3 linked regions of the Struthio camelus genome follow. The protein of the gene in region 2 interacts with the protein of the main gene of each other region in a biochemical or structural test. Links are inferred from orthologs where the notes say so. Each region holds a gene or a part of one and is shown on either strand. Other genes may lie near its edges.

Region 1 (8,039 bases), on a different chromosome or scaffold from region 2:
ATCCTGAGCTGTGATCTCCCATCTCCTGGCAGCCAAGGTGCAGGAGTGGGTAACTGCGGGGCAAACACCCTCCCTGTGTCTCAGCTCCCCACCTGCACTATGGCTGTCACAGCACCCTTCCACTGCCACGCAGGGTGCAGGCAGCAGCAGGGCCACGTGTATTCACCAGCAAGTTGCTCATTCCTATTGCAAGACTCTGCAGAGCCTGAAATATATCCCAGCACCTCAGACTCAATGAAAAGGCAGCACAGGTCCAGAAGAGGCTATTGCCTAGAAATCCCACCACGGGCCAAGTTTTCAAGGTGCAGACAGGTGAAGAAATTAGCCATTACAGAAACCCAGCGCAACCAGCTGGCTGGCCCCAACATAGCTATGCAAACAAGACCCCGTTGAGCTGTATTTAGCCAATCCCTCCTGGTCTAAAATTCAGTTTGAAGACAAAGCTATTTGTGTGAGCCCCCATAGAGCTCTCTGCTGAACAGGTTCCTGCTTGTCCAGCCATGTTCCTGGGGATGTCAGAGCACCCCGTCGCTCTGCAGCTGTACAGCCACTTCATTGCACCGGGTGTCAAGAGAGCAGGGCAGGAAATCAGGATTGGGCAGAAGCCAGCCTAGCTCCTGCCACCTGTGCAGCCCCCCAGAGCTCAGGCACAGCTTATAGGCTTACGTATCCAAGAAAGTATTAGATGGAAGTGAAATTCCCTTTTACATGCAAAAGGGAATTTCACATACCTTACACATACCCACTTACACATACCCATTAAAACACAAGAAAAAAAATCTATCCACCGTATCTTTCCATTCAGAGTAGCTAAAGACATGTCTGCACAACACTGTGCTGTATTAATCCATTGCCCTTGCAGGGAGTTGGTAGAGCAGCCGTGATTGTGCTTGTGAGTGTGCCGGGTCTTTACTGTACTCAGAGAGGACAGGATAAGTGCCCCATTACCAGTACAGTTATATGCTGGCTTGGTGCTATCAGAATTTAACTCTCTAGGCTGTACATTGCGTTCATAAAGAGAAACAATTAAATCAGTAGCAAGAAAAGTGCATGTATGAGATCGGAGCTACAAACACCAGAGAATGACTTAGCTCTTCACAGACTTCAGTCAGAAGGGGAAGCGATACAGCATTACGCTGTCTGCCTAAGGTTTTTTTTGTTCTTTTTTTTTTTTTTGGCTTGGCCTGGACATGTGGACATGGGGGTCACGCCAAAAGTAGCCTTGCTCCTCTGTGAAGTGCTGTAAGTAAGGACCCTGCTGTGCCAGGTGCAAGCGGGTCCCTCCGGCTCCCGGAGGTGTTAGAAAGCTGATCTCTCACTGATGCACAGCCCCGCAAGAAAACAAAGAGAAGAAACCGGCGGCTAAACATCCTGCAAAAACGCGAATCATCTTCAAAGCGTTCCCTGAACGCCACAGCAGCCACAGCAGCTCCAGCGATAACAGCCCCAACATCCCTCGCCCAGAGGACCCAGAAGGGGTTTCCATGGGAGCCGACATTCCTCCGCGGCTGAGTCATGGCAGAGCAAAGGGCTGGGGAAGGAGGGGCTTGAAAAAAGTTTGAAAAGTTTTTCTCCGCTCCCCCTCCCGACACCGCCCGCATCCCTGCTCCTGCCTATGTGGCAGACAATAGCTCGGGCTTAGCCGCTTCGCAGAACGCCGCAGCCTTTGGTTCCCACTTAACACTCGGCTGGTGCAGCCTACCAAGCCGCTGCGAGCTGCTTTGTCCTTTCGATGGGGGCTGTTGTGGGGCTGTTTCAAGTCGGTGGTAACCGAGCGGTCGGAGTGCAGGCGACCTTCGCGGTGTCCCCGATTTCACTCCAACTTACAACTGTTGCTGGTCAGTTTGGGTGGGAATTAAGCCACCATCCTATTAAGTTTCCTTTTCTTGGCTGTACGCAACATAGTGGAGCTTTTTTAGAAGAGGGATACAAAGAGCAGAGTTAGGCTGCTATGCACGTCAGGACAGGGAAAAGACAGCTGCTGCCTTTAAAGGAAACAAGCCCTTGGCTTTTTTGCATGGACCTAAAATTGTGTCTGACTGATCCTTATTTTCAGTCTCTTTAAACAGACAAAAGAAGAGCTTGGTTCTTCACTTTTTTCTCCCGCAACCTTCATCTCTCTCTCAAGCAGCTGATCAGCTGGATTTATGCAAAATAAGGCAGGAGGACCTGAAATGATTTCAGAGTCTGCCTGGAACAAAAAGCCTGGTGTCTTTCTCTGCAGGAGAAATAAGAATGGCTGTACTTAAAAAAAAAACAACAACAGCAACAAAACCTCTAGGAGATAAAGTCAACAACGTTTTTGTTCTTTCTCTAGATATTCTGGTGAGTAAAATATCAAATGCCAAAACACCTCAGACTCTGTGCATAATGCGCGCTGGTTTACAACTAAATCTGATTTGCTGTGCAGGGTGGTTTGACGTGCCCAGACGTTGGTCTAGCACCTCTCCCAAGGGCAATACCCCACAATGTAAAACCCGGAGAGGAAGAAGGGAGAAGAGGGAAAAATTAGGTCAGGTTTTAAAGCCTTAAAGTCAGCTGTCACCAAAATGCTAACGCTGGTAATGTGGCAATGAAATGCAGTAACAGATGCAGCTGGGAAGAGGAGAAAGAGAAGAAGCTCAGCAAGGTCCTTGGGTGAGTGGTGGGCTGGTGAGGTGCAGAGCTGGGTGCTCATGTGGGGGGCCTGCGCGAGTGGGCTGGGGAGCCACCACGCCAGGAGAAAGAGCATCAGGAAGGAAAAGAAGAAGGTTTCGGGCCATACCTGACAGTGCCGGCAGCAGGGCTGAGGAAACTTCAGGCTCTTGGAAGGGCTGGGGGAATCTGCAGGTTTTAGAAGGAGGCAGCAGGAAGCCAAACTGTGGGCTGGGTTTCCTGCTGCCTCTCCTCCTCCTCGCTATCTTTCCAAATCTGTCTCTTCCTCTGCCCCACTCCCCAGTGGGCTGTCCCACCCCCTCTCACTGCCCTGGTCCCGAAAAAGAGTGAGGCACAGCTTCAGCTCTAGACTAGAGAAATCAAGAGGTGCTGGAGATAAACAGGGTCTCTCGCAGGGAGAAATCAGTTCCCAGAGCACTTTTGTAACTGAGGCTTTGTCACAGTAGCTGCTTGTACTGCTGTGACTAGTTTTTTGGTTCTCTGGATCTCTCTCGGACTAACAGTATCAGGGGAGCGGGGAGGAATGCTTTCTTTGCACAGCTCCTAGCACCTTCATCCAGCACAATAAAAACTGTCATTTCACAACAGACCAGTTCAGTTCCTGGGCTGGTGTTTTCCATCCTTGGGGGATACGGAGGAAGCTAGGAGAAGCGTCCTCACTCCTCCATCCTTTCTCCTGACACTGTTGCCATCTGAGACTGCCTTGTGAAGAGGGAGAGGAAAAAATGATCCCCTTTTTCCAGCCTGTGGAGAGTTATTACATGTCTGAAATATGCTCTAAAGAGCCAGGGAAATGCTCAGCGGGGAGAAGTAACCCCCAGCACGCTGATCTTTCTGCTGTGGTTAGTGGTTATTGTCCAACAGATCTGATCAGCTGGCACTGACTGAGTAAAACTGGTGGCCTGGAAATTGCTGGTCCATTGAATCTGAGGTTCTCTTCAGATATGGTTCAGTATTTTGACCTTATAGATTATAACCCAGTCAGAGCAGCCAAACAGCAAAGCCGTTTGGGGTTGACTTTTCCCATCTGTTCCTCTGCACGCTAAGGATGAAAACCTAGCTCCCATTTCCTTGCATTTCATCACGGCAGAGGCAACTTAAAGTTCATCTGACCCCCGGCAGAACCAGACAACGTGTCCTTATGCATGGCAGCATGGCCATGGTGCCACATTGTAGGGAAAAAGCAGCAGGCAAGAAGTGAGGTTGTTAAGTTACTGGAATTAGGGTATCCCTAAGGGACCTGACTCTATAACCTGTAGGGCTTTCCTGAGTGCTGCAGACAGTCCAGTTCATTAGCAGCTTTTTGCAGCTCATTGTCTGCCCATGGCAGCATCCATCCCTTGCTGAGCCTGAGTGGCTCTAGTGGGGTCACCTGGCCAGGCAAAGCGAGGTTGCTCTCCCTGGGGCTGCTGGAGGGACAGTGGCTCACATTGCAGGCAGGGCTGAGGACAAGTTGTCTGGGCACTAGGACTGTGATCCTGGGTGCTGGGTGAAGAGGACACAAGACTCATAATAAGATGTAACGCCATGTGTTTGTCTCGTCTGCCTAGGTTCTGGGGTCATTCCTCTGGGTGATTACACGCTGCCTTCAAGAGGGAGGTGGACACTTAACTCCTCATACTGAAGTTACTGGGGATTTAGATGTCATCACAGGAACAGGCCTGCCAGGATTTGCTGAGCTCTGTTGGCTCTTTGCTCTGGTGGAGGCCTATTTGTGATTTAGAATTCCTCATCAGCACACGTCTTGTCCTGCTGCTGCATGTGAAAGAGACAGATGTAAGAATAAACATCAATAGGGCCAAAAAGAAACAAAAAATAAACAAGATCAAAATAGAAAGGGGAGAGGGAAGAAAAAGATAGTAGAGGGGGCCATGAAGAACCCATCATCACTTTCCAATGGGACTGTGGATGTCTATGATCAGGCAGGCCAGGACGCTGGTGGTGAAGAGCAAGAGAAGAAAAAGTCTTGTCAGGTCACTGTTTTAAATCCTGGGTCCTGAAGCGTTTTAGGCAGAAGGCAGTAGCGAACATACCAGGAGGTGGGACCCTGTGGGGCTGTGTCCCCCCATTCTCCACTCCATGGGTTGCTCCTGATGTGGCACCTGGGTCGTAGTTTGCGGTGGGAGTGGTTATGCTGCTGTGTATCACTCTGTCACTCATGACACCATCCAGGCACAGAGGAGCAGTGAGATTTCTCTGTTTGCTTTGAGAACTGGGGATGAGGAGCTGGAGTCATGTTGTCAAAGGGCTTAGGAGCCTCAGGCTGCCTGGAGATGCCCAAGAGGATGCGTGAAAAGCATCTTGCTCCCACTGAAGAGCCACGAGGAACCTGGCTGTTTTTTTACACACTGTTCAAAAGCCATCCCTGAGTTCTGATGTGTGGATGTTGATATTCCTTATACAGACACCCCACCGGTCTAGGGTCTGTCTGAAGGTCAACTTTGTGATGGTTGATAAGACCATGTCTGTCTTGTTAACTCAGCTGGTCACTTGTGGCGTCTGGATGTCTTCTCTTCCCCCCATGGGTGTCCACAGCCCCCATGTGTAGCTTACATGTAGGTCCTTTTCAGCTGCAGAGGTCACCTATCCCCTAGGTTTGCGTTTCATTCGCTTGGTGCACACCCCGAGGAGTTGAATGCTTTCTGCACTGGATTAGTCACGGCTCGCATTGAAATCATACAGCTGCTGGTACTTCTCCTAAGAGAGAGAGAAAAAAAAAAAAGACATCTGGAAAAAATTTTAAGGGGGAAAAAAAAGAGAAAAGAAACCACGTCTTTTCTAACTGACAACGTGGCAATTGCTCAGTGCTCTTTAGTCTAGCCTGACGCTAAGCCCTTTTCTAAGAAGAAGCAAATGACAGTGCCAGGAAGATAATTATAACAGGGTTTTCTTTATATACGTGGCGGCTTAAACCTTGGTCTTGAGTGAAAGCAAAAAGCAGCCTGCTGCAGTGGTGCAGTCACGTTTGGAGATGGCCCCTGAGCTCTCGGCTATCAGCCCCGGGAATGTGCAGAGTGAGGGGTCCTCACAGACCTCCTGCACGTGGGGGGTTAACCCAAATAGGAAAGAGGCCTTAAGCTGCTGCGCACATCACGGGGGAGAGCCCAGGTCCTACAGCTCCCTGTGCAACAGGCACGTTGCCAGGCTTGGTTTTGTGTTGCCAGCTGTGGGATGAAGGGGGATTGCACGGAAAGAGAAACAAGAGCCTGGAGCAACTGGCAGTCTCTCTAATCTCAGCAGCTTTAAGAAGCTTCTGAGATGACTGAGAGCTTGCAAAAAAGTCCTGGAAAGTCCTCCCCACGCTTATAAGGCTTAGACATCAAAGAAGAGACTTTGATGTCAGGCTGCCAGGAGAAAAACTGAACCTTACACATGCTAGAGGTTTCTCTTATGGCATCTAAAGCTCAGGGAACTGGGCAGGCAAAAGACGGCCCAAGAGGGCCTTGTCAGCCCTGAGACCCTACACAAGGGGGGCTGTGCTTTGCCGTGCGAGCCTGCCTCGCAGGTCGAGATTGCGATCTCTATAAGCAGTGCCAATATGTGTTTCATACACAGCTCCTGAACCCCAAGCTGCCTTTCACTTACTTCCAGCTCAAGTGACCTCACAAACGCAGATGGAAAAAGCAAATAGGACCAGACCCCTTGAGACTTGAACTGAGTGTATAGCAAAGCCAAGACATTTGCAAGGCTGAGGTTTGAACTCAAGCTAACCTCAATGCAAAATCCAAATTCCTTCATCCTCTTTTAAGCCTAGTTTGACAGATCTGGGCTGGCACAGTTAAGAAAACCCTGGTACTCTCCAAGATGGGAGCAATTCTGCTGTAAGAGAAGGACAGAAATACAAGTGAGCCACTTGATGGAAGTGATACAAGTGGGGATTAATAATCCTGCTGTATCCTACACTCAGATCCTTCAGTCTAAGCAGCCCTTCCTCCTTTATGCCGTGGGAGGGATTTTCTAATGAGTTTTTCTGGAAAGGATGATGTTCCTGCATTAATCACTGGTGGATGCTACAGTGAAACAATGAACCCAAAGTGCATATAAATAAACAGAATGCCCTGGAATCACTGTAGGAATGTCATTAAATAAGTCTTTGTAGATTAGCGTGTGGCTGAAGGCTGTACTCCTCACACACACAGGCTGCTGTGTGAGCAGGATGCCTTTACTGCAGTGTGGGAAAAGCAAGGGCAGTCGGTAAGGCAGCCCAGCATCCTGCTCAGGAAAAGGCAATTGAAATGAGTAAGTGCAGAACAGACAGGCATCTTGCTTATCCTAGGAATGTTCCAGCTCTCCAACTATCTCCAAAACCCAGGAGTGTGTCATCAGGTATTAGGGGAAGGTTTCTCGCTTTTTTCCGTTTCAGAAGGGGATCAGAGGACTGGGCAAAGGACTGTGGCCTCTGCATTTACATTAAAGCAGATGCATAGCCACCATTCAGGACTGGAAGCGCCTTCTGCACAGGGTAGGGTGAACCTCAGCCATGCCAGGAACTTGCCCCAGGCTGGCTATCTTGGTCCTAAATGGGGCAGGGACTTCTCTGTAGTGGGATAGGGCTGTCCCTCCAGGCTCAGTGGTAGGGTTGATTGCCTGTACAGATGGAGCAGACTGACACACCATCATTTCCCCAGGCCTCTGCCCCTGCAGGGTGTCTTTGAGTGCTTGGCCCGGGGAGCCTGAGTGAACTCCTCAAATGGGATTGGGGCGAGCTGGCTCAACAGGGTAGTGCAGGCGAATGGGCTTCTGGCTCTGTGAGAAGCAGAAGGAGAAAGAGGAGGGGATGTCATTGTTAATTTTCAGCTGCAAACCGGAGGCCTGCAGGGCAGGAGGGAGGGAAGCCAGCTGTGCATGGCTGTGCTGTGAGTCACAACCTGGGAGCAGGCTTTGCTCTGGAGCCTAGAGGCAGGACATGCACTGCTATGGGATGGCTCGCTGTTTCCATGGTGTTCACAGGATCTCAGAGCCATCCCCTGGGATCTCCAGTGGAAGGCACTTCCCAAGCCTTTTGGGGAGGGCTCTCTCTCCTTTAGACTACCCCTGCAACGTGCACTGGTTTGCTTGGACACCTGTGGGGCTGCAGGCTGAGTGTATGTATTCTCCCTGAAACAAAGCGAGCCCAAAGCAGCAGGAGAAAAAAAACCTGTTGCCTTCCTCAGCTGGGCTGGAGGCAGCTGCCGTGAGAACAGGGAGCTCTGTGTGCTGCAGCTACCGGCTGTACCGCCCTGGACGCAGGCTGGATCTCTAAGGACATCATGCCTGTACATCTCAGCTGTTCCTACCTCTCTGTTATGTCCGGAGCTGGGTGGTGGATACACTTGCCTCCCACCACAGGTCCCCACCAGATGCCTGTGGCAGATTTCCCCAATGCACTGCCTGGCGTGATCACA
Region 2 (6,984 bases):
AGAGAGGCGTGAGCATCGCGGGCATCGCCGGCGGGGCCGAGCGGGGCCGAGGGGCTGCCCGATACTCACTCCACCGAGGCCTGGAGGACCTGGAGGGCCTGGGGGTCCCGGGAGGCCAGGCTGTCCAGGGATGCCATCTCTGCCAGGGGGGCCGGGGAGTCCCTGCGGGGAGAGCGGACACAGGGGTGAGCGCGTGCCGGCGCTGCCCCCGTGCCGGGATGCTCCGAGGCGCGGATGGGAACGGCCTCGGAGCTGTGCCGCATCTGGTCTGGAGGAGCTAGGCTGGAGCTACCCACCCTGTCTCCTTTGGGGCCGGTGTCTCCCTTAGGACCCTAGAGGGGAGAGGAGAGACGGGTGGTTAGAAAATGATGGAAGAGAGCAAGGAAATAAGGAGAACTGTTTGGGAAAGGGTTTTTTTGGGGAGAGGATTGCAGTGATTACCTCTACTCCAGCGGATTCTGGGTAGACGGGGGAGGCTGGGGAGAAAGGAGAAGGGTCAGTCGGAGGAGCCGAGTCTGCGCCACGTTTCTACCCACCCCGATCCCCGTCCCACCGGGGCTGCAGCCCCTTTGGGGAAGGATGCTGAGCTGGAGGGGGGGGCAGCGCGGGGGCCCCCCGGCAGCGTCGCGGCGAGCCGAGGCGAAGGCGCCCCGCTGCTCGCCGCGGCACGGGGACGCGCGCGGGGCCAAGGGTCAGTACCGTCGGTGTCGGGACAGATGGGGCAGCATTCTCCGAAGGGGATCTCAGCGTTGGGGCAGTCGGAGGTGTCTTCGCAGATCACCTCGTCGCACAGGATGTTGCCGCTGTCGCACACGCAGATCTGGCAGGGCTCGGGTTTCCACACATCCTTGTCGTTGTATGTTAGTCCATCTTGTATGCAGCTTCCAGTTTGAACTGGGGAAAGAGGGAGACGGGGAGGGGAGCGTGAGGGCGCGAGAACCGGGGCACGGAGTGAGCCGCTGAGATTTACGCTCGCGCTCGTCCACAGGCGTTCGCCTTTCCTTGGCAAGTCCAGCACGTCCTTTTCCTTGCGTTCCCCCCCCCCCTCCTCTTTCCCCCCTCTCCTGGAGCTTTTCTCCGTTCATCTGGTTCTCATCAGCCCATCGCGGTGACACAGGAAAAGCACCACCACAATAAACTCTTCCCACTTACTTTGGAATTTAAACAAAACCTCCAGCCAGTTGTTACGTCCAACTGCAACCTCGGCCTGCGGGAGCCCAGGCCAAGGCAAATAAGCCCCCGCGCCGGGCTGGGGGCTCAGAGGCGGTGGGGAGGCCGGGAGCCACTCGCGGGGGGCGCCGGGGAGGGGATGCTGGAGCGGATTCGGGAAGGGGCTTGGGGAAACGGGATCACCAGCGGGGCTGGTAAAGCAGCAAGTGCGAATTAGGGGCGGCTGGACGGCGGGCCAGGTGGGCTGGCTCGACAGCTTGGGCTGAAATTAGATCCAGGCGGGTCCGGGCTAGGGCTGGATCAGGCCAGATTGGTTGCGCCGCCGGCGAGGGAATAACGTCCAGCGGATGGAGGCAAGCGGGGGGACGGCGCGTGCGGAGGGCAGGGCAGAGCGCCAGGGTGGAGGGCTGGCACCCGAGCGGGGCCGGGCTCCCAGCGAGGGGGGCGCGAGCCAGCCCCATCCCGCAGCCCCCCGCTCAGCCGGAGCCGCTTCGGTGGGAAACAGCCAAAAAAAAAAAAAACCAAAATGACTAAATTGGGGAAATGCCGCAAGCTGCGGCCACGCTGCCCCGGGGACCCGCGGGGGTCCCGGCGGTGAGGCGGGGGTGCCGGGCTGTGCCCCCCACCCCATCCGTCACCCTCGGGGGGGGGTCGCATCCTGCACCGGCGCGGGGCGAAACCCCAGCGCGGCATCCCCGGGGCGAAGGGGGCTGTCCGTGAAGCGATGTCTAGACGGCCCCGGCTTTACGGGCTGCTAAAACATTTTCCTTATGAATCATCTGAGACTTTTCTAATTCTTTCCTGATGGCTTTTGCAGATCCCGGGGCCGGCGGCGGCGTTCCCCCCCCCCCCCGCCCCACTCCTCCTCCTCCTCCTCCTCCCCTCCGGCTCTTCGAGGCGCACCGTCGCTCTCCCGCTCGCTTGCCCCCCTTTCCCCAGCTCCTCCGCCCCTGCTTCCCCGCCGTCCTCCCCTCCTTCCCCGCCTGCTCCTCGCTCCCCACCCTTTTCTCCTTCTCCCAACTTGGCACCGAGTCCCGGCCGGCAGCATCGTTCCCAGGCGCCACCGGCCCTCCGGGGCCAAGGCCGGAGGGCGACGGAGCCCGGGGCCGTGGCGGAGCGCCCGTCCCATCCCGACCCCGGCCGTCGGCATCCCGGCGCGCACCGCCCCGCAAAGCCGCCGCGTCCCGCCGCTCGCTTGCCTGGCGTTTGGTTTGGTTGGGGGTTATTATTTTTTTTTGCCCCCCACCCCACCCTCCTTCTCCCCCCACCACCCCGCAACCCCCTGCAGGAGAAGAAGGACCTTTTCACGGCGACTCCTCTGCCGTGTCGCGGAGGGCGGCGTGCGGGAAGGGGGGACGGGAAGAGCGAGGGAAGCGTCGAAGCGGCCACGCGTCGCCGGCCGCTCGAGGCCCCGTCCCGCCGGCGGAGAGAGCGCGAGAGCGAGCGGCGGCTACTTACTGTCTTCTTCTCCTTGCCCGCGGGTGAGTAGTACAGTCGCTGCTATCAACAGCAGTAACCGAGAATCCACAAAGCTGAACATGTCTAAATATTAGACATGTAGACTCTTTGGGCCTCTTTGTTTCAGAGTCGGGTCATACAGGGCTGCTCTGACTGTGTAGCTCCAATCCGGACCCCAGCAGAAACTTCCTACTGCCTTTCCCAGCGCCTCGCCTGCCCTTTTATACGGTGCGGCGGCGGCGAGAGGTGGGACCGGCCGCAGCCCGCGGCCCGGAGCACGGGGAATTTTGGACAGCCCCTCGGCCAATCAGCGGGGCCCGGCGCGCCCGGGGTCCGGGCGGCACACGCACACGCACACACATGCACACGCACAAAACCCCCCAAGCGGGGCGGTCGCTGCCGCGCAGCCCCGCGGCGCCGCCGCCGTCGCCCCCAGGGTGACGGGCGTCGAGTTATTTTTTTGGGGGGGGTTGGGGGGGTGGTTGGGAGCCGTGGGGCTGGATTTTGGGGAAGGGGGGGTAGATGCATTGGGGTGGGTGGGTTTGCGGCGGGGGGGGTCACCCATGAAGGGTCCTGGGAATATCCCAACGCCGCCGGGCGGAGCGGGCACGGGGACCGATGGGGACGGCCCTCCCCTCCGCTCGCCCCACGCGGTCCCGCGCGACGCCAGGACGCCCGGGCCACGCGGACGCCCACCCCGGTCACACCGCCGGGACGTGGGGACAACGTTGCACAAGCAAAACCCAGGGTGGCCCTGGCATCCCCGACGCCGGGCGCTGACGGGGACCCCGGAGCCACCAAACCCGCTGCTCGGGGCTGCTCTGCTTGGGGTTCTTTTTTGGCTTGCTCGCTTTCTATCTCCGTTTTTCTTTCTTTCCTTCCTTCCTTTCCTTCCTTCCTTCCTTTCTTTTCTTTCTTTCTTTCCTTCCTTTCTTTTCTTTTCTTTCTTTCTTTTCCTTTCTTTCTTTCTCCCATTCTTCCTTCCTCCCCTCTGGCACGCCTCCATGACTGTTTCCACATTTGAAGAGCCACGTTGGTTGGAAAAAGAAAAAGCTCGCTGACAATAATCCGCAATACACTGTGCAATTTTGGGAGGGTGTAATTACACGCCAAAAAAATATATATATGTGTGTGCATGTGTGTGTGTGTATATATATATATATATATATATATATGTGTGTGTGTGTATTTTTTAGCGGGGCCGTGGCAGGCGCCTGGATCTCTAGGGCAAAGGGGGACGGAGACCCCCCGGTGCGGGGAGCTCTCCGCACGTCCCCCAGACGTTGTGGCATACCGGGGTGGAGGGCAGCTCGATTTTAAGGGTTTTTTGGAAAAATGCGGCACTGAACAGCCCCTTTCCGTGGGCCCAGCCAGCGGCCGAGGGTGCGGGCTGGGCGGTCTCCCCGCGGGAGTCTCTGGGGCCCTGGGCACTGCTGGGGCTCGGGGGTCCCCTCCCAGGGCTGGGCAGCGGCTCGTTGGACCCAGGCGTCCGGGACGGGGCTGTGGGGAGGGTGGCAGCTCCCGGGGAGCGCGGGGGGCCGCCCCAGCAGGGAATGGGGCTGGGGGCTGCCGTTGCGCTCGGGGAGGGGGACCGGGAGCCGCGAGGCAGCGGGGTCCTACCTTGGCACCCACCGCCCCCCCCCACCCCGACCGGGCCACGCCGCAGGGGCTGAGCACTTGCAAACTCATCGGCCTGCTGGGTCGCCAAGTGGCTCCTGCCTCGTCGAAAAGCAAACCGCACACGCGCTTCCCCCCGCTTTAAGCGCCCGCATCCGAGCAGTAGCCCTCAAGGAGAGACCGAGTTATTTATTTTTTGGCCGGGGGGCGGGGGGGGGAGGGGATCAAATAATGCAATAACAGGGCGGGGGGTGGGGGGGGGGGGGAAGAGACACGTCGAACTTGAGAGCAGAAAAAGGCTCCGCCGGTGACCTCTCCAGGTCTTTTTTTCCAGCCTGCGATTAAATGCAAAGAAAAAAACCGCGGCAGAAGGAGTTATCTGTGCGAGTTGCACACGCACGCACGCACACACACACACACACACGCACACGCATGCACACGGAGCAGCTGGCCAGCTTTCAAGCCTGTATCTATGCATCCGAGACACGTTGCAGGCGAAGACTCCTCCAATCATGCCTCTGCGACTCGAAAACCCCTGGCCGCGCTCCAGGCTGAAGATGTGTCTTTAATTTTTGCAGCATGACAGAAAAGAAAAGAATGTCATCGTTTTTTTATATGCATGTAGCGCGGGAGGGAGGAGGGGGGCCAATGCCACCTCATCAGCCCCGGCCGCCCGCCCGAGGAATGCAGGAGGGTTTCGTGCAGGGGATGGGGGCTGGGGGGGAATGAGAAGAACGAGGGAGGGGAAAAAAAAGAAGAGAGAGAGAGAGAGAAAGGGAAGAAATCCCACATTAAAAAAAATAATAATAATAAAAGCCTGGAAAAGCCATCAGGATCCTAGGAAGCAAAACGGGAGACGCCAGCCCCAGGGCCTGGGCCTGCCCCGGCTACTGTGGGGTGCAGGATGGGGGTCCCTCCCTGCTCGTCCCGGTGGTACCCGTGCGGGGACCGTCCTGCAGCACCCGGGCAAGGACGGGGACGGGGTTTTGCCCCGCGGGTTCGGCGGAGGCCGGCCGGGGCGGCGGGATGCTGCGGGCTGTGCCCAGGGTGCCACGGCCCAGCTGGGCGCTGGGGGTCCCCCCGAGCCCCGTCCCCTCGAGGGATGCCACCCCCTTCCCGTGCAGCCCGCTGGCTTCGCTGGTGCCAACGGGGCTGGGGCGGGAGGAGGACGTTGCCCCAAAAAGTCGCAAGCGGGACCGGGGTCGTCCAAGCCGTGGGATGGAGAAGAGCAGGCGAGAGGCGGCAAGGCGCCCGTCCCGCCGGTCGTGCGTCGAGTAGGACCTACAGAAAAACACAGCTGACGGGGGACGCGGGGATGGGGGAGGCGAGCGGTGGGGCTTGTTTGCCTGCGCTGCAAGAGCTGGAGCAGACACAGGCATCTGGTGTGAGTTAACTCCCCTCGACAGCGCAGACACATGGAGCGGATTAACTCCCTTTCTTCTCTGGTTCCTCCTCGCTCGGCGGCCCAGCATCGCTCCCGCCCGCTGGCCCGGGCGCTGGCGCTGCCCGGGGGCCGGTGGGCACTCGCTCCCGGCCCCAGCCCGGCGCAGGGTGCCAGCGTCCCGCCGTGGGTCCCTGCTCGTCCTGCAGAGTCGGCTGCAGCACCGGACCCCACCGGGGTCGGGGGACCCCTGGGTCCCCCCGGCTCTGCTGCTCTAACCCCGGCTCCCAGCCTGGGGGGACAAGGCTGGAGCTGGCACCCACGAGCCTTTAGGTGATGGCTTTTGAGTGCCGGGAGGTGCCTTTTTGGGGAGCTGAGTTATTCCCCCTCAGAACCCCCCCCCCAAGAAAAGCAGAGGACCCAGGCGTCCTGCTCCCAGGACCCGCTTCGTCGACACCCCGGTACTGCCGAGCGGTTCCCCAGCACCCCGCTGCGCTCGGCACGGACCCCCCCCCCAGCCGCCTGGGTCCTCCTCGGTGCCCTGGAGGGGGGACATGCCGTACCGGGGAAGGCGGCTGCGTGCCTCAGTTTCCCTCCTCCCAGCGGGTGCCCCCCGGCGCGCGCGCCCGCAGCCCGCAGCCCGGCACCGCCCCGGCTATTCCTGGTGGCCAGCCGGCCCTCGGCACCCTCAATTGCGGCGGCAGGGCAAAACCCAGTAATCACGGGCAGCGACTGCGCCAGCTATTTCCAGCCGCCGTTCAAAGAAGCCAGGGCAATTGCTTAATTGGCCTTTGGGCTGCCAGCGAGACGCGCGGCTCCTGCGACGGGGCCTTGAGCAGCCCGGACAAGTGCAGGGGTTGCTTGGGAGGGTCCGAAAATATGTTTGCATCCCGGCGGGCAGACCCCTGAGGGTTCCCCCCTCCCCTTCCCCGGGGGTTTGTCCCTCTGTCTGCATCGCCTGAGCTTTCCGCTAGGTGAAGGGTGACGCTGGGGTGGTTTTGGGGGTCCCGGAGCCTGGCAGCCCCCCAAGAGCTGGCTGGAGGGGGGATTTTAGGAGAGTCCCCCCCCAACCCATTTCTTCCTGGGATTCGCAGCCGCCTTGCCCAGGGACCATGCTGACCGTCACCCCCAGGCCACCCGGGGCTGGCGCTCAGAGCAGCGCTGAGATTAGAGGGAGGGCAGCCCAGAGGGGGGTTCGCGGCCTCAGCACCCCGGCGGGGCTGGGGGCAGCTTTGGGGCAGGAAGGGGCATTTCCCCGCTGTTGCCGGCCGCCCCTGGCGCGCAGAGGGCAGCCCAGCCCGGGCCCCTGGGCCGCGGCCGCCTCGCCTGCCGTCTCGGCTTGCAGAGCCCGGGATGGA
Region 3 (7,866 bases), on a different chromosome or scaffold from region 2:
TGCAAACTAGCAGCTTTCATTCACTTCATGGGATCAAAGGTCCCGGTATGTAAATGTATAAACATAATACGTATTCTCTCCTCTGCTGAGCAAAATATTTGAAAATGCAAATCTGCAATAATGTTCTGAGTTCTAATGAAAGCAAGAAATTCTACTACGCACTCGAATTTGAATTCATGCTCTGATGATTCACTGACGAGAAATACTTTGCTGAAGCAGAGATTAGGTGCCTATATCTAAGGTTACCTTTGATCCACTGCAGACAAAGCAAGTACATGAAGAAGTGATAGGGAATACTGTTTTTTTTTTCTCTTTATTCCTTCACAGACAAAGCAAACCAATCGGAACTTTGAAGGACAGTAAATGTTTCAGGTTTCAGGAGCAGAGTGGAGGAGTATTTTTTGCTTTATACTTGATGATAAATTCTATTTCTTAAAAAAACTGATTTTTCCTACTAGGGAAAAAGCTTAAAAATGATTGACTGGCTTTACTTTTTCCCTGGTATAACAGTAGTACAACCTTATATGCAAGTCCTGTAAGAAAATCCTGTCACTACAGTTAATTCCTTTAGATTACAGTCTTCTCAGCAAATTGGACTACCTTTTGCCAACACCAAAATCTGACTAGTGGTAAACAAATGTGCTTTGCCAACATTATGATTCAGAAGAAATTCAACTGCAAATATCTCTGCTTATTCAGTAGTTAGGACTTAGTTCAATATGCTAGCCATTAATCAAACATTTGCAATTTTCCACACGTTTTTTTTGGTAGGCAAACAGGCCTGCATTCGATGCAAGAACTTCAAAGACAAAAACATCCGATCTGCTTTTTGTATGCAGGCAGCCTGCAGATGTGGTTGGCATGGGGAACCCGCCTGCAAACAGAGAACACTGGTAAGCAGGATACCCTGGTCAAGCACACATACACCAATATATTTTGGAAAAAGAAACATTTTTGTATCGCAATTTACATAAAGTGCCCCTTTCACAGAGATGATAGATTTGCTGAACAATCATCTGCTGGATTCCATGCCGCAGGGGAAGGGTTATGCCCTGCACACAAATCTCCCCCTCTCCAATAGGTGTACCTATTTCCTTCGGGAGCTAACCATTACTGATAGCACAAGAAACACCAACAGAAAATATGCCACAGGAAGTGATAAATGTGTGATCCCTCTCATTCAACTTCAGCCACTCAAACTAAACTCGTCACCTGTTTCCTCCTAGGGGCAGAGAGCACCTCTAGGAGGGGTTTCATCTGTCCTAAAATAAATGAGATCAATAGACTTCCGAAAAGGCCTCTGTCTCTCTTTTTTTTGTACAGGAAGGACCTAACCAACAAACTCAGAAGGTAGGCAAAATGAATCCCACCCAAAACAAACCAAAAGAATTCTGTGCTTCATAAAAACTTTTTAGAGCTGTGTTAAGTTGTAAAATAATAATAATAGACGCTCTCTATCTTCAGTGCTGTTCACTGAAGTTCATGTTTTATATATTTATATTTGTATGTTCATATATTTTCTACTTTTAGCAAAAGATATGCTGTATCTTTTTAAAGCTTTCCTTCAGTGTGACTAAAACATACCAGATAAGCAATCTGGTGTAAACTGTTTTAACACAACGCATCTCAGTAACACTGTTCCGATGTACGCTGTCGGTTCTATTATCCCTGAATTACAGCTTCAGCACAGGCTATTAAGATTCCATTTTCTATGTATGTAACTTTAAATGCAAAAAAAAAAAAAATTCTTATTCTGTGTGCTGGGGATAATATTTTAAAGAGATTCTAGGCAGAAGGTCTTATCAAGAGAGAAATTCACTCCTTTTATTATGTCAATTTTACATTTTTTTGTGGCTTGCCTTAGACTAAAACCATACTTTCCGCATTGATTGACTACTTTAAAAATTTTTTTACAGTCTTACATACAGCTATACTAACATAAGTTTTAAGTTCAGACATAAGCTTCAGAGTTGCAAACATAATCTGCAATGAATGTTCAGTGAAAGTGAAAAGGACTCCAAATTCAAGAGGAAGTAAGAAGCATGTGGTTCCAGGATTCACAATAAGAGAGTGACCAAAGAATCCACGATAAAAAACATCCAGGCACTCCTGGGATTGGGCTACTAGCTTTAGCACAGCTCACATTCTTTAACACACCCAAAAGATAACAGGTAAATAAAATCCACTAAAACAGTTTCAACAAGTCAGTTATCTCTTGCCTACTAGAACAAAGCTAAGTGTCAAATTGACATTGGCTATATGAGTTTAAATCGGTATTAGCTCCAGAAGGATCAACAGAGCTAGGTATATACGCTATGATGAGAAGCTGGACCTAGATGTGAAGAATATGCTAAAATTATGGACCAAATTTGGCCCCCATGATTGTGCTGTATTTCTGGGGCAATAAGATGCTTGCTAGAGATTCCTTAAGATTTAGAGATGGGTCCAAACTACAAAATTTGGATCTAGATTTTAATATTTTAAAAAATCTAAGGAAGTTCGAGTTTTTCTATTTGGGCTCCAGTGCATCTTATGGTAACGCTGAACAACTCATTTTCAGAATCATAGTTCACTGAGGCTACAGGGATTTCACAATAAGAAAGTCCTCCTTTCACAACAATCAAGAGGGAATATTCTGAGATAAGATTATAGGTTCATCCACACACTTTTGGATGAAATAAGAGATAAAGTTTGAGCGTTATTTTTCATTTCGGAGTGGACAGTTCCTGGTTGCCTGCCTCAACTTCCTCATTTAATGGGAGGAAATTTTTGAAATTTTCTTATGGCCTTTCTACTCTAATCTCTATCCTTGACTTATTTCCACATGAAGAAAAGCTTGAGAGTAACATTCTGACCTTAAAGATACGAGCTCATATAAACAGCTGTCCCTTAGATTTCTGTGAGACAATCAGAGAAAGTAATGAGTATATGAAGGGTTTGGCGGGGCGAACACGAACAATGTACAACCACCTGTCAATTAATTCTGTCCAGGTAGGATCAGTCAGTCTCTCTTTCTTGCTCTCTCTGTATTTTTTCCCCTGGCAGTGCTCTCCTCATCTCCCTCTCTCTCTCTTGGCTCTTAATCTTGAGGGACTGGAGGTTCTTCCTGCATGAACATAACAAAAAGGCCTTCTTCAGATGGTATACTCTCTCTCTTAAATTAAAAAGGCTGACAAACATTTTGGCTTTACCCAATATATACAATTCTGTAGCTATCTCATTCATTGAGTCAAGAATTTCCCAAGGCATTTCCTGGGATAATCTGTAGAGCACTAATGCCTCGTACATTAGCCAGTCCGCTTGCCTGATGCGTTTTACACAGTTCAGCTTAGTTTAGAATCCAGTGCAATTACGGCTGGAGATTGCCAAGCTCACTCCAACTTTCCCTCACCAGACACGCAACCGACTGACGAGATTCTCCTCGCTCAATGACACTCGGCTTTCCACAGGAGCAAACGTCAAATATAAAAAGCCCGGGGAATGCAGAGGAATTAACCATTTTTGGAATCCAGTCACTTCCAAACAATTTCACCCACTCCAGTCACTTTTGGTCATAGGGAGTAGGGCAGACAGGACACAGAGGGCCTGCCCCTTTAACCATGAGCAGCTTTCCTCTCCCCTGAAACTCGGACGACAGGGAGAAGCGCAAGGTGACAGCTGAAGCGAGGTGTTAGTCAGTTTATTCACTACACTAAGCCATCGCCCGTTGGCCATGGCCGAGCTACTTCTCCAGTGACCGGGTGGAAGGGGAAAGGCGCGGGCACACGACACCCCCTCCTCTCGCCTGGCCCCCAGGCCCCGGCCCCTGCCCCCCGCCCCCCCAAGCCCCCGGGCGAGCGGCAAGCCCTAAGGGGGGCTGCGTTTCCCCCCCTCGCGGGGACCCGAGCCACGGGAGCCGGGTACCGCTGCCAGCGGGCGGCAAGAGCAGGAGGCTGATCGCTTCCGTGGGGCGTACCGGGACACCGGGGCCGCTTTAACCCTGGAAACGCAACCTCCCCTGCTCGGGCCGCCCCGGCCCGGGCCCGGCGGAGCGGCCGGTCCGCCCGGGGCGCGGGGCCGGGGAGGCGCCGCCCGCCCCATGTGCCCGGCGGCAGCGGCGGCGGCCGGGCGAGCCCAGCCCCGTCGCGCCGCTCTCACCGGCATCGCCAGCGGCGCCGGCGCCGCCCGCACCGGCACCGGCACCGGCAGCGGGGCGGCCGGGCGGGGGGGGCGCAGCCGGCCCTGCGCCGGGGTTGCGGGCGGCCCGCGTGGCCCGGCGGGGAGGGCAGGACGGGGCCGCACCAGCGGCGGCGGGGGGGCGCTCCCGCGTCTCCCAGCTCTGCGGGGCAGCGGGAGCGGGGGGTGCTTGGGGGAGCCCTCGGCGGCCGTCGCTGGCGGAGTGGCGCCCGAGGCAGAGCCGCAGGGCGGCCGTCGGGGCCGCGGCGAACGCGGCCCGGGAGCTGGCTATAAAAGGAGATAATGCCTCCGGCGGCGGCGCCGCCGCCCCCCTGGCCGCCGCCATAGGAGCTCGCGGGGCGCCCCCAAGCGGCGGGCTGGGAGCGCCGCGGCCCGTCGGGAGGTAGAGGTAGGTGCGCGTGCGGCCGCAGCGTCCGCCCGCTGGCGGCGGCGGCGGCGGCGGCGGCGGCGGCGGCGGCGCGGGGGGAGCCGGCCCCTCCGCCCCGTCCCGGGCGCCCCTGTGTGGAAAGTTGCCCGCCGTGCCGCGAAGCGCCGCCGCCGCCCACTTCCTGCCCCGCCGCCGCTGATTGGCCCGCCGCGCTTTGAGGAATGTGAGCGACCCTTTAAAGGCGCGCGCGGCGCCCGGCGCCCCCAGTGCACCAGGCAGGGCCGGCGGCACGGCGCGACCAACCGCCGCCCCAACCGACGCCACCTACCTGACACCGCCGCGCCGCCTTGCTGCCGCCGTCGCTCGCCCGGGGGCTTTGCGCTGCTGTGTCCGCTCTTCCTCGCCGGGACAGTCGAGGGCTGCCGGAGGATATTAGCCGCTAGGTGCCCGGCGCTGCGGGCAGCCCGTCCTGCCCGTCGTGTGCCCGGGATCGCGCCGGCCCGCTCTCCCCGGAGGTAAGTGCTGAAGCAGCTTCTCTCCCCCCTCGGTGCCCCCTCGGAGGGTGACGGGCACCTGTCGTGTCCCTGTTGCTTCCCGCTTCGCAGCCTTCCTGCCTCCGAGGTACTTTGGGAACTGCTGGTGCCAGTGCTGTGAACACCGGGTTCCTGGATGCAGTGGCAGCTTGGTGACCTTCTTCCTTCGTGGTTGTGTCCCTAGGTTGGTTCAGAGGCAGATCTTTGCCATGGGGCCAGCGGCTGTTCTCTTCCTCCTCCTTATGCTCAGTGTCTCTGAGGCCAAGCGGGCGGCAGGTAAGACCAGCCTCTGTGCTCTGCAGCTGTGGGTTTGTTACTCTGAGTGGTCACAGAGGTGTGAAAAGAAAAGGCTTCTTGATATCTGGGTAGACAGATGAAATTGTGCTCTGCGCTGAGGAGCTCCAAAGCTTTCAGTGAACAAAAATGTTTTAACCTAAGTGCTATCTAATTATGGGTTATGAACAGGAAACTTTCTCTGGTGTGGCATTTACGGAAACTTCAAAAAATGAATGTAGAGACCCCAGGGCTTCAGAGCACAGCTTATCCACCTCTCTATGGTAGGCAGAGAAGAGGAGGAATCTAATGTAGGAACTAGATGGAGAAGGAATGGGGCAGTATGCTACTGTATTGGGGGCCATAGAGAAATTACCCTGCTTGTGGTCACCCTGCCTGACTAAGCGAGCACTCTTTGCAATATGCCCATACTAGGATACAGCAACCAGGGCTTCTGCTGTCTATTTCTCTTGTATTAGAGCCTAATGAGGTGCCAAAACTGCCGCTATCTTTGTGCGTCAGGCAGCGGGTACCTGGCACTCCTGTGCCCACTGGCTCCTTTACAAGACTGCACGTGTACTGCCCCACAGCAAATCCTGGTGAGACTTGAGATACTGTCACAGCTTGTGTCTGCTCTAACATGAGGCTCTGTCCCTTGCATTACATAGAACTTGAGCTAATGTGTTAGTAGCCCCCGAAGAAATGCACTTAACTTAGTCTCTTGTCCCTTGCTCGTGGGCTCATCCCTCTGATTGCTTGCTCTGATCTCTCTGCAGAGTCAAGGGGAGATGACAACAGCGTGTTTGATCTCTTTGAACTCATCGGCTTTATTCGCAAGGGAGCTGGGCGCCGGGCACCAGGAGTGCACCTGGTAAAGGGACCAGAGTCTTCCAGCCCTGCTTACCGTATTGAAGATGCCAGTCGCATCCCAGCTGTCCCTGACGACAAGTTCCAAGACTTATTAGATGCCATCCATGCTGAGAAGGGCTTCATCCTTCTGGCCACTCTCCGGCAAGCCAAGAAGAGTAGAGGCACACTGCTGGCTGTGGAACAGAAAGATGGCTCTGGTCATGTCTTCAGTCTGGTATCCAATGGCAAGGCAGGCACCCTGGACCTGAGCCTTTCTGGTGATGGCAAGCAACAGCTAGTGTCAGTAGAGGATGCCTTGCTAGCTACAGGACACTGGAAGAATATCACCCTGTTTGTGCAGGAGGACCGGGCTCAGCTCTATGTGGGGTGTGAGAAGATGGAGAATGCTGAACTCGACATCCCCATCCAGAACATCTTCACTAGGGATCTGGCCAGCAGTGCCAGGCTCCGTATTGCCAAAGGAGGAGTCAACGACAACTTCCAGGTAAGACTTTCACTTCCATTTTGGCTAGTATTTTCAGTCATCTGCCTTGAAGGTGTATCAGCTACTCAGGCAGCCTAAACATCTACAAAGATGCAGCTCATATGGCAAAAGGGGGGCCACCACAAATCAGCTTTTGTATATCTGATATGAACACTAAAGTCACTAAATTGTAATAATGCAATTTGAAGTGAAGCACAGATCTGCAAGGTTGGAACTTCCTACAGCAATAACTAGGTCCTTGTGGTCAAGGATGAGAATGTTAGGAAGCAGGGCTTGCTCTCGCTGAGGAAAACAAAGTTTCGCCTTGCAATCTGTCTGATGTGAAACTACTTTTAATGATCGTATGTGAAGTTAAGTGTCTACAAATGCTTTCCATGTAAGTTGCGCTTCTTCCCCTTGCTGTTGCTATAAGTAGCTGTAATTCTTCCTCTGTCCACAGGGACTGCTGCAGAATGTGCGGTTTGTGTTTGGAACAACTCTGGAAACTATTCTGAGGAACAAAGGCTGCTCCAGCTGTAAGTCTGCAGTCTTTTTCTGAATCCAATGACCTATTAAAAATAAATTCCTCAGTATGTTAGGAGGACAAGTTGAGACAGAACTCAGAAGTATGCTGACATACAAATCCAAATTGCATAAGAAATAAGATTATTTTTCTGCAGGCACCCTAATGAATCTGGTAACAGCTGTTTAGCAGGTGTTACCCTGCAATGATAAAAGCACATGGTTGAAAAATGCATTTACCTTATGTGCGTATTTGTTGTCTCTTAGCCACTAGTGCAATCATTACATTGGACAACCCTATCAATGGCTCCAGCCCAGCTATCCGCACTAATTACATTGGTCATAAAACAAAGGACATCCAAGCAGTCTGTGGTTTTTCCTGTGATGAACTAACAAACATGTTCGTGGAACTGCAAGGGCTACGGTCCATGGTTACAACACTTCAAGATAGAGTGCGCAAAGTGGTGAGTGTTGGCTAAATTCACGTTACCTTTCATTAACTCTCACTTAGTGAGTGAATTCTGACTTGCCCTTTGTGTGCCTGGGTGAGGAGTAATAACTTTACTGTGGTCTGGTCTATCAATTTTGTGGAAAAGGATGTTTTTTGTATTGAGTTCTAAATATCTTCTCTCTGCTCCCCCTCCCACCCTTAAGACTGAGGA

The links.
Region 1: the proteins of COL1A1 (region 2) and SPARC form a complex in vitro, tested with the Homo sapiens proteins (2 studies listed by BioGRID). The link is inferred for Struthio camelus from reciprocal best matches to the Homo sapiens genes COL1A1 and SPARC.
Region 3: the proteins of COL1A1 (region 2) and THBS1 form a complex in vitro, tested with the Homo sapiens proteins (2 studies listed by BioGRID). The link is inferred for Struthio camelus from reciprocal best matches to the Homo sapiens genes COL1A1 and THBS1.

What each region holds. Positions count from the first base shown.
Region 1 is NC_090954.1:13,126,005-13,134,043, reverse strand, and holds the start of SPARC (SPARC), read right to left. Parts: upstream 3,079-8,039; 5' UTR 2,765-3,078; intron 1-2,764.
Region 2 is NC_090966.1:4,761,989-4,768,972, reverse strand, and holds the start of COL1A1 (collagen alpha-1(I) chain), read right to left. Parts: upstream 3,001-6,984; 5' UTR 2,711-3,000; coding exon 2,629-2,710; intron 895-2,628; coding exon 700-894; intron 477-699; coding exon 442-476; intron 333-441; coding exon 297-332; intron 163-296; coding exon 70-162; intron 1-69. UniProt on the Homo sapiens protein: Type I collagen is a member of group I collagen (fibrillar forming collagen).
Region 3 is NC_090946.1:47,519,140-47,527,005, reverse strand, and holds the start of THBS1 (thrombospondin-1), read left to right. Parts: upstream 1-4,814; 5' UTR 4,815-5,058; intron 5,059-5,260; 5' UTR 5,261-5,285; coding exon 5,286-5,352; intron 5,353-6,125; coding exon 6,126-6,703; intron 6,704-7,142; coding exon 7,143-7,218; intron 7,219-7,471; coding exon 7,472-7,668; intron 7,669-7,858; coding exon 7,859-7,866. UniProt on the Homo sapiens protein: Adhesive glycoprotein that mediates cell-to-cell and cell-to-matrix interactions.